3 linked regions of the Solanum lycopersicum genome follow. The main gene of each other region encodes a partner of the protein of the gene in region 2 in a complex. Links are inferred from orthologs where the notes say so. Each region holds a gene or a part of one and is shown on either strand. Other genes may lie near its edges.

Evidence for each region.
Region 1: large ribosomal subunit protein uL1c (region 2) and large ribosomal subunit protein bL21c share a complex: the UniProt entries of both Arabidopsis thaliana proteins name them as parts of the 50S ribosomal subunit. The link is inferred for Solanum lycopersicum from reciprocal best matches to the Arabidopsis thaliana genes EMB3126 and RPL21C.
Region 3: large ribosomal subunit protein uL1c (region 2) and large ribosomal subunit protein cL38 share a complex: the UniProt entries of both Arabidopsis thaliana proteins name them as parts of the 50S ribosomal subunit. The link is inferred for Solanum lycopersicum from reciprocal best matches to the Arabidopsis thaliana genes EMB3126 and PSRP6.

The regions. Positions count from the first base shown.
Region 1 is NC_090805.1:43,261,855-43,265,621, reverse strand, and holds the start of large ribosomal subunit protein bL21c, read right to left. Parts: upstream 2,732-3,767; 5' UTR 2,609-2,731; coding exon 2,315-2,608; intron 860-2,314; coding exon 779-859; intron 389-778; coding exon 287-388; intron 195-286; coding exon 120-194; intron 1-119. UniProt on the Arabidopsis thaliana protein: This protein binds to 23S ribosomal RNA in the presence of protein L20.
Region 2 is NC_090800.1:78,436,283-78,438,984, forward strand, and holds the end of large ribosomal subunit protein uL1c, read left to right. Parts: coding exon 1-115; intron 116-1,000; coding exon 1,001-1,084; intron 1,085-1,348; coding exon 1,349-1,474; intron 1,475-1,679; coding exon 1,680-1,814; 3' UTR 1,815-2,125; downstream 2,126-2,702. UniProt on the Arabidopsis thaliana protein: This protein binds directly to 23S ribosomal RNA.
Region 3 is NC_090803.1:63,903,457-63,905,868, reverse strand, and holds large ribosomal subunit protein cL38, read left to right. Parts: upstream 1-1,423; coding exon 1,424-1,759; downstream 1,760-2,412.

The sequences.
Region 1 (3,767 bases), on a different chromosome or scaffold from region 2:
ACATAGTTAAAACTATGATAGACTACGGTGCGCCTTGCTTTAAGGGCAAACAGATAGGTTAAAAAAGTTCAAACTACTTTATAGTTATTCAGATATCACTAAAAACAGTTCTTTGATACCTGTCTGTGACCAATATTCCTTCTGTAGTTCTTTTTCTTCTTATACTTGAAGACGATAACCTTCTTATCTTTCAACTGCATGGAAATGTAATAATGAGCCAACAGATATGTCAAGTAAACAAGATATACTCAGTGGAAACTACAGCAGAGGAAGAATGATGTCTGACCTGCTCTTCAACAACAGCGTGGACTGTTGCATTTGGCACCACTGGTTTTCCAACCCAAGTACTTGTTTTTGTTCCCACAAGTAACACCTTGTTTAGGATAATCTGCAGAAGCAACAAGTATAGATGCTTCAACAATGATCCTCATTGTGGAAATTTTGAAATAAGAGTATTGCCAATATGGCAAGAAAACCTTGACATACACATATAACCCTTATATCAAGTGTTAGCTTCCGTGGAAAATAACTGGTGAAGACAATGTATTAAAGATAATAGAAATAGGACAAGCAAATGTCACTATTGGTTGAAATTGATGCCTTTTGACATAATTGAGAAATTGCTGCAAGCAAGTTCTTTTTGATTGGACACCACAATGTTGATATGAGATAGCGAGACAAGGAAAAAGAAAAACAACTCACGTAACTAAAGCCAAAGCCACAGAGAGGTAACCAGATTTTGGGAAATCAATTGTAAATTAAGACCAAAAATGCTCACTTTGTCATTGACATTTGCACCTTTAAGCCTCTGGGTGTAGATATACCGCCCAGGAAAAACAATATATTGCCGAGATCCAACCTATGAAAGCGAAAGAGCAAAAATGAACAAACAGCTTAACGTATTAAAGACAAGCCCCATAGAGTTATATTAGGGTAGTGTCACATTCATCTGAAAAAAAGAAAAAAGAACAAAATAAAGCACAAAATTTGACACCTAGAGGACTTGAAAATTGTTAGCAGCAGGAATAATGATCAGATTGAAATAGCAGCTATAATCTCCTCGCAAGAGTGAGTATTTTCCACATGGAAAAGAAAAAATATTCATCAAATAAGTAGTAAACATGAATGTTTTCTCCGGTTAAATACAATAGTTCACAATTCACATTAAATAAAAGATGAAAGTGTAGAATATGGCAACCTCAAAATCAAATTTCAACAATTACTAGACTTTTGCTTAAATGTTTGCATGGACTTGTAGATATGTATTCCCTCTGACAACTGTATAACACCTAAAGTTAGAACTAAATGATAGTTATCAGTTATTTATTAGTTATATTACTTCTAATCTGCCATATGAACCCCTTTGCAACTTAACTAGAGGAAACGCCTACCGAAAATAGATGGCCCACTTGTAAAACGAAATTAAACTAAAACCAAAGAGAACATAGACTGAGATTTTTGAAATTGGATGGTGTCCAGAACACAGGTAAGGATATACCAAGTACTAAATCTTCGTCATGTCTTCATAATAATTATAGTTTTCTGTTAACATCAGCCAACTCTACTGGAGAATACTAAGCATATAAAAAGTTCAGTTCAGCTTATTTAGCACGGACTATTTTAACATTTCCAATAGCCACCACCACTGCCAAGTCAATATGACACAAACATATAGACATGTGTATTGTTCCTTTAAGACACCCTAAAACAGAATGCTAAACCTAAGCATCACAGAATGGCATTGACGTATAAATAACAGAACGAAAGAATTTCATTGTAACACTCCCTATTTTCACCACATACACCATAGGAAGCAGTAATGTATCAACAGTACTAGCAAACACGAAATATGAACTAAGTGAGTGAGGTGTGGTGGAACATTCTTCATGAAAACAAATTTTTGGAACTTCTAATCCGTTTGACATAAAGGAAGTTTTCGTTCTAGTGGCAAAGGTTAATTCGAGAAATTGCTTCAATAATAGGTCTGAGTAATTTTGAATTCCCCTTATTAAAATTCCGACTGCTTTTGTGATATCAAAGGTTGAGCACATGACAATCTTGAACCAAAGTTGTGATCTCTATACAACAAAGTAACATTCCCTTAGAGGGAATAGATCAATTTCCTATTTCCTTCGAGAAAAAAATTCAAGGTAACAGACAACTGAAACATTTTCCGCTGAATTTTCAAATTTTCATTTGGGACCTCATAATTTTTTCAATAAAAATCTAAATTGTACCCTCACATTGATTTCGAAATTGAAAACAAACAGATATGTCTACACAAATTTAAACATGAATGGAAGTGAGTCGTCACCATAACAACAGCAAAGATTTCTTCCCGTTTTGGTTCCAAGCTAGTGGCTTCCACAACAGGCTCTTCTTGGTCAGCTTCAACTTCAGCTACTGGAGCTTCAGATTCTGAGTATTTGGGTACAAAAGAGGATAAAGAATTGGGCTTGGAGAAACGGAGATTGAGAGAGGAAAATGAGTGAGATAGAAAAGTAACATTGGAATTTGCTTTGGGAACAGAAAGGGTGTTAAGAAAAGTTTGGTTCTTGGAAAGTGCTGTTGAGGGGGAAGATGTAGAACACAGGGAAAGGGTTGCCATTGTTAGAGAGTGAGAGGTTTTTTTTGGGTATTCTCTGTCTCTCTCTCAATTTTATCTGTTGAAGCCTATCCTATCTGCAGTGGTAGCCAAATGACTATTTTACCCCGAAATCCTTTATTTATTTTTTTAAAAATAATTGTATTAGAAATAGTATAAATTTACATATTCTCGTAACATAATACTCCCTTCGTTTCAAAAAGAACGTCTCTATTTCCTTTTTTAGTCTGTTTCAAAACAAAAAACTCATTTCCTTTTTTCATAATATTTTAACTTGAACTTTCCACGTGACATGTTTAAGACCACAAGATTAAAGGATATTTTGGTACATTTGACATAACTTTAATTTAGAATCACAAGATTAAAAAATTTTTTTTTCTTCTTAAATTCTGTTTCAAGGCAAGCTAGACCATCCTTTTTGAAATGGAGAGATTAACAAATATTCTAAATTATATAATAGGTCATTTACTCTTGAAGCCATCATTGTTTAATTTTGACTCGAGGTTAGTTATGTAAAGCCTCCCATCTACTTTTTGCAATTACATATACATTATATTTAATTTTCATAGTGCTAGTACTATTTTTGATATGTTTTATTTAATTTGAGGCTCTTAAAAAATAATTATTCTATCTTTAAAACGTAGAAGTAAGATTACAAATACGTGGTAAGAAGAGTAAAATAAGAACAAAAGTAATGCCATTTGTTATGTTAAAAATCAAGCCCGCAAAATTGGAAGGAAAAAAAAATAAATCAAAAAAATTACACAAATAAAAGAAGACTGAAATTTATTTTAGTGTTTAATATATGACAAAATGATCTTAAAAGGTACTCAATTTCCAGTAACATCAAATTAATATAGACATAAAGAAGGTTTTTACAACACTTCTCAGGTACAAACAACTGTAATATTTTAGAATTTATGAACTAGAGGAAAAACCCTCAAATTATATAAGATAAAGTAGCAAAAGTAGGAGTAACGTTTGTTTACATCCCACCCTCTCCAGATCTCGCTCGTGGAAAGATACTGGGCATGCTGTTGCTGAGAGTAGCAACAACTGAAATTTTGCTACTATAGCACTAAATCTATCTACCATCACAAAATAATAGAGCACCAATATATGCTGGTAATAGCCCAACATTGTCTTGGCAAACACAGCTCTA
Region 2 (2,702 bases):
TGAAGCGAAAAATGCAGGAGCTGATATAGTGGGTGGGGAGGATTTGATAGAACAGATAAAGGGAGGATTTATGGAGTTTGACAAATTGATTGCAACACCAGATATGATGCCTAAGGTGTTTCTACAGTCTTTGCTATTAAAAATGTCTGACTTGCCTTTGATGTTCAATTTGATCTCCTTTTTCATTTTTTATACTGTCTTCGACAACCAGCCTATGAACTTCTGTCTCTTGGTTTTAAGAATCTCATATTGAAGTTTGCACAAGGCAAAGAGCGACTGTCTGTCTCAAATAATTCAGCATATCTCGCTCCCAAAGTTTTTGTGCATGCGTTTGGGCCTTGTCAACCTGGATATATAACTTAACAATGCGTAGCTTGTTCTGAACCAACTCACTTGACCTGGTGAAAAGCTCTAGCTGTTGTATCTTTTCTTCTGAAAATACTTCACAACTAAAATAATGATTTGGTTGAATAAAACATATTTTGTTAAATTCTATCATTCCCTTCGGAGTCTTTCTCTGTCATTCCATGTTCATTTGTTCATATATTTTGCTAGGTTGGTGCTCTTAAAATTCCTTGACCTCAAAATCTGGCTAGTCAGCATCTGCATATTTTCTAGCAAGCCTTCTTTCTGAAAAAGTTAAATCATAAAATTCTGTTGTAACATTGTGCATGAGTTTTACATTCTTCATGTGCCATATCTTGGAACAGCTTCTGCATTGTATATTTGTGAATTATGGTCCATCTTACTTTATCATAAATCTAATGCTGCAGGACTGATGGCAATATTAAGCCTAACTTAAGCTGAGTGATTAATCGCAGAGGCTCCTCTCCCCGTCTTACCATTTTAATGCTCACTGACAGCTGATTCAAAAAATTGAACCTTTTTAAGTGACTTGTCTAGAAATTAGTTTTATTAACACCTGAACAAGTATCTGTGGCTCATTTTACGTAATTTTTTTGTGAATTCATATTGATACATTCTCTACTATTTGCGGCAGGTTGCTAGCTTAGGTAGGGTCCTTGGTCCTAGAGGACTCATGCCAAACCCAAAAGCTGGTACTGTCACTACAAATATACCTCAGGTAACGTGTCAAATATTTTCTTCTTGTGAAAAAGTTGAATCAAAATACTCTCTTTCTTATGTTCTATGTGCAATGGTGGAATCCCTAGATCTTTATATTAAATGGGAAGCCACACCATATATATCCTAGCTTGGAAGTTATTCAGAGTTAACAAAATGTGAAACAATGTAGTTAATGAGTAGGCAGTGATGATTCACTTAATGGACTATTTTCTTGCTCCTTGAAAATGTTTTCAAGTATGTAAACTTGTTGTACTTCCTCCAGGCTATCGAAGAATTCAAAAAGGGTAAAGTAGAATACCGAGCAGATAAAACTGGAATTGTTCACTTGCCATTTGGAAAAGCAAATTTCTCGGAAGAAGATCTTATCATAAACTTCATTGCAGCAGTGGTAAGTTTTATCGTTAGCTCCTATTTCTTATACTTTTGTTCCAGAATAGTTTGAATATACCAACAACAACATACCGAGTAAAATTCTAAAAAGTGGGGTCTGGGGAGGGTAGAATGTATACAGACCTTACAACTACCTCATGGAGGTAGAGAGGCTGGTAGAAGCCATTGTAAATTAATTCAACTGCATTTCTTTGAATGAACAGAAATCGGTGGAAGCAAACAAACCATCAGGTGCTAAAGGAGTTTATTGGAAGAGTGCACATGTATGCTCGTCGATGGGGCCATCCATTCGGTTAAACGTAAGGGAGATGCTGGAGTACAAGCTTCCGAATGCTTAATTGAGCGAGACATGTATATTGTATCTTCTATCATCTACCTAAGTTTCTTCGGCGCCTTATCAGAGCTTCCATTTTATGAGAGTTAGGATACAAAGTAGGTGGAGTTTGAAAGGAGATCCAAACTTCATATTGTCAATATCAGTGTGGAAGCATTCATAGGCACAGTTGCTAAGAGAATAATTTTGTTTGATATTGTCAATGTTTATGTTCAGTTTAATTCTTACTAGGTGCTAATGTACATTATGCTTCGATTTGCTAAAAGGGGAGCTAATTCAATTTTCAGAAGTTTTATATGCTGCAAGATTCTCTAATTTGTGTTCATCTCTTGAGATTCTGCCAACAACTGATTGAGCTGAATAAACCTATCAGTTTTTAGTATTTTTCTTTACTTTACCACTGTGGAAAAGGGTCATACGCATGTACCCATGGGGTGGTAGTTAATTTTTTAGGATAATTTTTGTCCTTCATCACTTGCGATAACAAAAAAGTCGTCTGAAAATACTCTTAACATCGAAAATAAATAAATAAAATAAAAAACCACAAGACAATTTTATTTTTTCGTATCTAATCTAAACAATTTATGTCTCTTATTCCTAAAGAACGAAGCATAAAAGTTCAATTCATAATGCCTTATTATAAAACATAAACTTAGTTCTGGCATAACTCATGAGTTATGACTTATAAGACATAACTTAGTTTCTATGGAACTTATGTTTATCGAGAAATGTGTTCAGTCTTAAAACCCACAAAATCATGCCTCAACAGACTTAACTTATTTCTACAAGACAAAATGTTCTCTAAACTTACGCCTTACGAATGATAACATACAACTTATGTCAAATAAAACAACAAAAATCTCTAAGATTAGGTCATAACTAAAGACACTCT
Region 3 (2,412 bases), on a different chromosome or scaffold from region 2:
TTTTCTTTCATCTTTGACTATCAGGGTACATGATACTGGATCGGACACCAGAGTTATAAAAATATGCAATTTAACTCTTTTTCCAATAAAACAAAGCACTAATTGCCAAAATGCTAGAGGTAACCAACTCATTTTTACTCGGCTATAGGATGTTTTGGGCTGATTAGTGCAGATGAAGTTGGTCAATCCATTAATCTTGATGATTCATATAAGTGGGGGAACAATAAAGGTCACGGACTACAAATGGGATAGACTGGCCTATAATATTACTCACAAGGCTAACAGTAGATGCAAAGAGACGTATATGTTTGTTCTTTTATGTGTAAGAATCATACTCAGGTGTATTTTGTATGACCTACTTATTTTCAAGTATCTTTTTCACGGTGTTTGATTGTCATGTAATAATTGATTGAGTCGCCTTCAACATCAAGTGATTGAGTTCACGTTTGATGGATAAAAAACACTATTAATCCTTCTGGAGTGGGGTGATTTTACACATATATATTATAGCAAGGAAAGAGTAATAGGTACACGTGAACTCAAGTTGTGCCTAAATAAGCAACTAATAACAAAAAAGTGTTATTATGGTAATGAAAAAATAAAAGTATCCATTCAAGTGAAGTTTACTTCAATATCATCGAAAAAGGAAGGAAAATGAAACGATTTGACACCAATTGAAGGAACAATTTAACCTTTTAGAAGTAAAGTCATTTCCTCTAAACATGTAACCTACTAATAGTCAACATTCACTTCTCATAGTTATGTCCAAAATACAACTACTATGCTCCATATATTATACAATAACTTTTATATTAAATCATATAATATCAGAGAAAGATTAAAATAATTATGACTAGTTGAAAACATTACCAAACATACAGACACAAGTTGAGGAATTGTGTCCCATGATCTTATAAGATTATTACTCATTTGAACTCAATTAGGCCGTGTACTTTTGACTCTAAATTATATTCACTTATGTACTAAAATTTCATAAACTATTCTTTAATCACAATGACCTTTGGGTCTCTAACTAAGAATTTCTCCGTCTCTGCCCTTTATACACACCGTCCATCGCTCCTATCGATTGTGAAGTTACGTTTAGTTTTCAGACTTAATATATGAACATAAATGGTAAGTTATTATTATACAAAAATATAAACTATACATAAATTAAAGACCAACACTAAATAGAAGCAAAAGTGTAAATGATCCCACAGATTTATTTGGGCCAGACCAATTGTTGTTCTACTACATCCAACACTCAAATAACCCAAAAGGGCTTTAAGGCCCAAATGCCAAACGGTGTCGTAACCTTAGCAGAAACTGAAGTCACCAGAAGATAACGAAGGCAATCCACTTCAAAGGTTCCATTAAACACAGCCAGAAGAAGGAAAAACCTTTGAAGAGAAGAAAAAAGAAAATGTCAGCCTCCGCCATATTCGGGTTGCAGATGGCGGTGTTGCCGCGTTCCTCAACTGTTTCAGCGACCGGATTCACCGGCGGAGCCACCAGGTTGGCGTCGGCACCCACAAGTATCGGGGGATTGGTAATTGAGTGCTCATCTAGGCCACAGAAGAAGGCTACAGCTCACCATAAGAAGACACGTCCACGGAAGACTCAAGCTTGGGATATTCGACGTGGACCAGCTGTTTATGCTCCGTTACCTCCCTTACCATCGGAGTGGTCCTTTGCCAGTGATGAATCGGGTCAACCCGCTGCCGCCGGAGCTTCAGAGTCCGACGCCAAATCTGAGTAATTTTTCTGTAACTTATCATTTCGGCTTTTGTATAATGGTGTTTTCCGTCTGATACTTTGGGGAAATTTGCAACTTGTTCAATTGCAGTTTTGGCGCAATAAGTGATTTGAAATGAATGTTTTACGCTTTACTTTTTAATCTATTCAATGCCACTGGATAATGCCGTAGCTTGTGAGATAATAAACAATATCCTTCGAATATCGGTTCCGTATAATAAAATAGCAAAATTATATATTATGTAAAGCAAATATCAAATGTGATCGGGGAGAGGGGTCTCGTACTAAAAACAATGAATGAGAAAACAGTAGCTATGTTTGTATTTGCATTAAGGCAATATACTCGCTCATTCAACATCGGAATCCTTTGAACTATGTCGCAACAACCATTCCGATCAAAACCAAACTATCCAGTAGATTAGACGAGCCAACAATGTACATTTTATGTTCCTACTGTAAATGGCATATTTACAAAGTATGAAACCCAATTATTTGCCCTCCAGACAACATTTACCAAGGCCTCAAAGCTTTTCTTGAATCTATCAATTATTCAAAGACGGGAAACAAAAAAGACCCCAAGCTCACTTAATTGGAATCGTGTACCAAAAGGGGCAAAAGCTTCCAAAGTAGCAACCGTTATCGAGAGAGCTCTTCTGC